Linked DNA regions of Xenopus tropicalis. The protein of the gene in region 1 binds, or shares a complex with, the protein of each later gene. Links are inferred from orthologs where the notes say so. Each region holds a gene or a part of one and is shown in the gene's direction. Other genes may lie near its edges. The genes, in order: pola1 and pola2.

Region 1 (3,075 bases):
AGGAATGATTGTGGTTGAACCATTTAAAGCTCACAGGTCACATGTAATTGATACATAAGATGGTATTGTGGGCTACCTGATTTGTAAGGAAATAAGGATTAGCCTTCAGAAATTGTTCATCATTAATCCTATAACCATATGAAATGTTCACTTCATTTTTATGGGGGGTGGGGGATGCTATTTAATTTTCAATTGAAATCTTCATAATTTTTAAAATGCAATTTAAATTATATAAGGGGGATCAAATATTTTTCTAATGAACTCTTTTCATCAGATATCGCTTTTTATATAATGACCCTTGCCAGGTAGGTGTATAGATCCTCAAAATATGATTTTCAAATACCACCAATAAGGTGCTAAACCAATGGTATTTTACATAGTTTATCAGTTATTCAGTATGGAGAACAAGCCATAGAACCCTATACAGTCCTGTCTGGGAAGTCAGAAGCAAATATAAGCATTGCCATAAATAAATGGGATTAGTAGTACATGTTAGGCTGATACAACACTAGGAGATTAGTCAACTGCATTGATTCTCCTCTACCATGGATGACTAAATGCTTTCCCCCCTGCAAGCAGCGATTAACATTATTGCCAGTGGGAAATCATTTTCAGGAGACGTGCTACCCATGGTTGCACAGATTTATTACTTGGGACAAATCTCCTTATGTGCCGCAGCCTTAAAGGTAAGCAAACTAATTCATTCCAGTTATAAGAAAAGGCCATAGTACATGGAATGCTACTCTTGCAAAACATACCCTTATTAAAGTCCTCTTATCGTTGGCAGCAAACATAGTGTACATCAATGCAAGAAAACCCATAGTTTATGTACATAGTTAAACAGGGTTAAAAAAGATCAAAGTTCAACCTTTCCAAGCGAACCCCAGTGTGCGCAAACAGACCCATACCGACCTACACATACATAACTATATACGCTCACATACATAAACTATATATCACAATATCCTTGGATATTCTGCTTGTTCAAGAAATCAAGCAACTTTTTTATGGAAAACTCTCATTGATTTCTACATGACTTCAACAGCTTTTAGATGGTGTATTTTTACATTTGCGTTTCTCATGGTTTTGATGCATAAATGGTAAAGAAATTCCCAAAAAAGTGAATCCTGGGAAAAAAATACTAACCTAAGTAAATGCCCCCCTAAGTAGACCACATACACTGCCATTTCAGAGTTAGGGTTCCTGCTCACCTTCTCATTAAAGGCAATTAAATTGTTTCCTTTGACAGTACATCTGTTATTGTGGTTTCTGCAGAACAATATGCATTGGTGGCATTTTGGTTAGAACATATTCTGTTCCACGTTAGAGCTTTTTAGTGGGTTTAGACTGATTTTGGCATGGTTCCCTATGAATTAAACCAAGCTCAGTTGTTTTTATTAGAAATTGACATTTCAAACTAATCAAAAGATTTTATGCTTCAGCCATTTATATATGGTTTAGATTAAAAGCTATGTAGTTCAGTTCATATTACAAATAATAATTTGCCATTTGAGACTAGCAGCAGAAAGGTAGCTCTTTAGCTATATGTTGAAAGGAGAAATCCATAATGTGTAAAGAAATAAGAGTTTCCATATCTAGAATTCATCCCCTTTCATTTGCCCCTAAACAAATACACTCATGTTGCTCTTCACTAATACTACATAAAGAAGATTCTTCAAAGAGAGATTGGCAGCTTTAATTTATTTGATGTGTGCAATCACAGTCCATGTTAAATTCAAACCCGCTTGTCCAATCAAGGATTCCACATAGAAGGGAGTAACAAGCATGCTGCACACTATAATAAAGAAATCTGTTGATTGAAAACAGTTTGTAGGTTTTGGAAATGATAGGGGATGTAATTGGTAAGAAAGAAAAGGACAGGGCTTGATAAATAATGGGAAATTGAGCATATTTTTTCCACTGATAATACTAACTCAATTTAGTAATATGTTGGGGTTGAATTTGTACATACCTTTCCTTTAACTTTACAAACTGGTCATTATGTCTGCAACATTATGGGTAAATTGGCATTGCTGAAAAATTGCTTTCAGGTTTCATAATGTATCTATCACTTGATATGGAGAAGGAAATATTAAATATTATAAGGTATGGGAAAGCAAGACTAGTTTAATCCAGTGCAATGTTGGAGTTTGCTGGAGTATGTGTGAATATAATGTTTCTGGTTATGTGGAATACTTCTGTAATATTGCTGGTTATCCTGGGCCTTCCCAGAAGATCTCATGAATATTCTTTGTTTTTTTTTTATACATATTCACTCTGGGCTTTCCAACTCAAATATTTTATAAATCTTTTCACAGTTATGGAAGATGATCCTGGATGTTTATGCAACTTACTGGTTGGTCCTGAAATATCAATCTTTTCTGGCGCTCTTATGATAAGAATGACTTTGGAAAAAACATTACTGACTCAAATAGTGAGCCTTAGACATGCGCTGCATTGCTTTTTCTGCACCTTTACAAATCTGTAACCACATAGAATTTAGCCCATATGAACAGGAATTTGACTTTTAGTGCTTGCAGATGAAAAATCACATTAAACAATGGGAAAAATTCTTTATACACGAAACTCTTGCCTAACTGTCAGGAGACATGTCAGGAATCCAAAATTAGGAAAGGTAAAAATGAAGCTTTATCAGAAAGGTCTATGTAAATACAACCATAAGCACTCACAAAAGTCCTCTATTAAATGAAACGCAAGATTTCTTGACTCCTTTTTTGTGAACATGTTCTTTCATATCAGACACCTCTCAGAAAAAAACCTTCATTCCTGAGGCTGGAGTCTGTGCAGCTTTCTCTTCTCTTTCTTCTACTGCTAACCCCTCCCATAAGAATTATCCCACACTAACTTAGGAATGTGTGATCTGAGCTACACAGACTGAGCTAAAATGGCAGCTGCAATCTTAAACAAACAGAGGGAGCTTCTAAGGCTCTTTATAAATATAGTGTTCTAGCTTGCACGAATGGGGCTAATCTACTGGCAGTAAAATGCCAAAATGACTTTCCTTCGCCTTTAAATATCAGCACCATAGTATTTTTTAATTGCTACTATATACAT
Region 2 (3,832 bases), on another chromosome or scaffold:
TTCAGCCCTAAACGTAGATTTTGCTCAAGATCAAAATCTTTTAACCTGGCCAATTGACGAGACGGCCAATATCCACAGCCTTTTGCAATATAGGTCGCCTCTTCCAGCCATACATGCACCGAATATTGTACGAAATGAGGTTTTGTACGATAATATCGGTGCGTGTATTGCCGGCTTAATACTTGTAAAGAAACAAGACCTTACAAATTCTATGTGTTGCAGTGCGTTTCAAAGGCACAATGATCTAGACATGCAACGAAGTGGAAGGGGGGGAAGAAAGTTGAGATGGGGAGTTCACTTCAGCTTTATTATCAGGCAAAAACACACGTAGAGGGAAGCAAGGAGGGGGGGTTAGACCTCTTCTTCCTTAGGGCTGTCACGGTGAAGTAGTCTTTTAAGAAGAGGGAAAGTTACAATCACTGGTGATGACAAAATGTGATTGTGATTGTAATCGCTTACCTGATTACCTGATTCAGATTATATTATGAAGACCTTTTAAATGGTAGCTGAACCAGTTGTGTTAAGCAAAAGCAACCACATGAGCCATACACAAATGTTGTGGTTTCCTTGCCTGCCTCTCGCTGACAGATGCTAAACTAGAAAACAGAAGAAAAGAATAGTAAAGCATACCCAATAAACATTCAAATAGGACCTAACATAGTTTACCAGAAGGGAACTCAACTTGCTAATCACGTAAATAGCATTTTTTTCACCCCTTTGATAAATAGTTAAAGCCCCAAATGTAAAATGTTGCCCTTTAGACTTTTAGTGCTTGGTGCGTTTTTACAGGCCAAGCCATCTAATTATCAGCAGCAAATTTTCTTTGTCGCATACTAGTGCTGTAGTGTGTAGGGGGGAAGTAAGGTTTGGCAGTAAAGGCTTGGCCATGCACTACCTACTCTGATGCAATAATTTTACAGTATCAGAATGTAGGTAGGGCACTGCTAGATACATTTACCTGGGACATGTTCCTAAAACTGGGGGTTAACCCTCAAAATTGTGCCAGCCTCCATGTTGCCTCTGTGAGCTGAGTAGCCAGAAACCACTACAAAGAACCTTGTGTGCAATTGCCAGAAGAGTGCTGCATGGTCAAAATTCTGCAGGGACCTAGAGAGTGGATTTCTGATTAGATCTCTGGCCACTGTTTGCCTAAATCCTCTTATAAATAGTTATGAAACTGTACATAAATCTGTTTTTCTTTGTGCGTACGTGAAAGCTGAACTGGATTATAAATGAGGAAAACAATGTTAATCTGAAACTGATGTCAGAGCTAACTGCATAAACGTGAACAGGAATACATAATATCCATGCAGCTGCATGGAATCCCAGGCATTGGGGATCAGTCCTCAGCACAGCTAGAGAGTTTGTACTGAATAGAGCAGGGATCCCCAACCTTTGCTTACTCGTGAGCCACAATCAAATGTAAAAAGACTTGGAGAGCAACAAAAGCATCATAACAGTTCATGGAGGTACCAAATAAGGCTAAGATTGGATATTAGGTAGCCTCTATGAACACTATCAGCTTACAGGAGGCTTTATTTGGCAGTAAATCTTGTTTTTATTAAACCACAACTTGCCACCAAGTCAGGAATTCAAAAATAACTACCTGGTTTGGGGACACTGAGAGCAACATCCAAGGGGTTGGTGAGCAACATGTTGCTCACGAGCTACTGGTTGGGGATCATTGGAATAGAGCATGCATATTGTTTGGTAACCAAAAAGAAGAGACTATGTTTATAATGACAGACATACATTCAACAATGTAAGCCATGGTTAGCCAGAGTTTGGAACTGAAATTTTGATATCACTGCAGATCTAATGCCTGACCATGCTTCAGCAAGTTAATAAGTAAAAAGAAGCTAAACAATTGTTTGAAGGTGATTTCTCATACTTCTCATTACTTTTCAGTTCGGGGTGCCATCTGGTCTTCGTTCCATCTCTCAGAGATGTTCATCATGATCCTGTCTATCCTCAGCCACCATTCAGCTGTTTTGAACCGGCCAAAGAAGACAAGGACGTAAGCTCTGTTCTGTGACCTTTTAATAGTTTCATTTTATACATGGGCCAACCCTGTATAATACCTTGACCGACCAATACTATATAATGTATGTCAAGTACAGACTGGCAATCTGTAGATTTTGACAAGTGGCAGGGAGGGGCTGCTGTAAGATGCCAGAGACAGTAACTAAAGCTGGCCATACACGCACCGATAATATCGTACGAAACCTATGTTGGCCACAGCAGAAACTTTTTAAACCTGCACAATCCATGAACCTGGCATAAATATACCAAAAATATTTTAGCAAATAGAATCTGAGCCTTTCAGCATGATTCTGATTTGGCCAAATTCAAGTGCCTGGCCAAACTAAATCTGAACCCTAAAAGTTTTGGTCACACAATTAAAAAAAAAAAATTCCTACGTGCACTTTATTCTGGGTGCTAAATTGCATGTGCAAATGAGGATATGAATTTGGTTTGGGTTTGGATTTACCCCAGTCCTGCATTAAACATTTGGGATTCAGGCAAATCCCAAAAATAAGAATTCTGTGCATCTCTAATGTTGAGGTAGTTGGAGGCTAGATTATTGGACCTGCCTGATAGTGATGTGCGGGTCAGGGGGGTTTGAGCCAACCTCCCCACATCAACTGCTGGTTGCGGGCGGGTTCAGGTTCGCTTGCCCTCCCTGCCAACAACCTAACACTGCCAGCTTCCTCTTCTGGCTCTCTAATTTATAGGCGTGCTTCCGGCAAGCTCCGCCCCTTTTGGCCGTCACTGCGGGCAGACGCGGGTCTATTAATAGATGGAGGAAGCCAGTTCAGTTTGGGAACGGGCGAGTTAGGGTCAGGTGCGAGTCGAGTATTTCTCGACCTGCACATCACTACTGCCTGATTTGGTCTACAACATGGATTAGTTGGTCCCTGGCCCAATAAACGAATTTTAACAGGAGCCTAAGCTGTTAGTAGGCTTACTGCTTATATCACCATTTTATCTCTTTTGTCCGTGTTTTTATTTTTACAACTCAGTTGTGTGTTTGTTTGATTTCATTTTCAGAGGGTCCATTTTGTTGCCGATCCCTGCACGTTGTCTGTCAATGGTGTTATCTTAGGCATAACCTCTACAGACTTGCTCTTTCATATGGGTGCAGAGGAAATAAGCAGGTAATGTGATTGCTAGGTCAGTCCCTTTGAGCTACAAAGCAAAATTAAACTTTTCAAACAATATTAGCTGGAACTGCCTAACAACTAAAGCTGGCCATACGGTTAAAGAGGCCCCCCAACCTCGGTAAAAATAGAATTCTAAGCAACTTTTTAAATATACATTAAATAGTTTCAGTGGTTTTATTGATATGTGTACATTTGCTACTGAAAGTAGCAAAATGAATCTGTCTGTTTACATTTTCTGCACTCCTGAAACAGTGCTACAAGCCAGCTGGTAAAAGCTGATTACAAAACCTAGAGGAGATCTGACCCCTGTTACATTAAAAGCCAGAACCAGAGAATACTGATTTCATATGCAACAACATATATCTTTAATATGATAGAAAATCTTTAATAAATTAATATTGTAAAGGTGCTTAGAATTTTCTTTCATTGTGCAAAAAAAAAAAAATATATATATTTTTAGTGGAGGACCCGTTTAAAGATGCATATGTTTGGCTCGGTTGCCAGTCAAGTGGATTTTGGTCTGATTTAGCTACTGTTTGTGCTGGTTGAGCTGATTAGGAGTCAATGACCAAATCTTACTAAAGGCACATAGCGACCCATAGGGCAAGGACCACATCAAAATGCCTAATGTGGTCTTCATTTAAAAAAGCAGTTTTCAAACCCACCTG

The links.
Region 2: the proteins of pola1 (region 1) and pola2 are in contact, whole or in part, in a cryo-EM structure (PDB 8G99), measured with the Xenopus laevis proteins. The link is inferred for Xenopus tropicalis from reciprocal best matches to the Homo sapiens genes POLA1 and POLA2. Residues at the interface, in NP_001082055.1 of Xenopus laevis: Gln548, Lys551, His553, Gln554, Asn555, Phe642, Glu645, Val646, Gln649, Asn652, Leu673, Gly675, Arg676, Phe679, Lys1137, Asp1141, Pro1143, Asp1144, Ile1321, Gln1322, His1324, Asn1325, Lys1326, Leu1328, Leu1329, Arg1332, Ile1335, Lys1336, Tyr1338, Tyr1339; in XP_018112289.1 of Xenopus laevis: Met280, Tyr281, Lys282, Phe283, Met284, Phe285, Gln286, Lys287, Leu288, Met289, Ile291, Arg292, Val295, Ser296, Ile299, Glu314, Thr316, Leu320, Pro321, Gln323, Glu324, Thr325, Val326, Gln331, Gly333, Cys334, Asp335, Ser336, Asn337, Gly338.

Annotation. Positions count from the first base shown.
Region 1 is NC_030678.2:40,737,163-40,740,237, reverse strand, and holds the end of pola1 (DNA polymerase alpha catalytic subunit), read left to right. Parts: intron 1-2,318; coding exon 2,319-2,488; 3' UTR 2,489-2,503; downstream 2,504-3,075. UniProt on the Homo sapiens protein: Catalytic subunit of the DNA polymerase alpha complex (also known as the alpha DNA polymerase-primase complex) which plays an essential role in the initiation of DNA synthesis.
Region 2 is NC_030680.2:31,683,001-31,686,832, forward strand, and holds part of pola2 (DNA polymerase alpha subunit B), read left to right. Parts: intron 1-1,908; coding exon 1,909-2,017; intron 2,018-3,051; coding exon 3,052-3,158; intron 3,159-3,832. UniProt on the Homo sapiens protein: Accessory subunit of the DNA polymerase alpha complex (also known as the alpha DNA polymerase-primase complex) which plays an essential role in the initiation of DNA synthesis.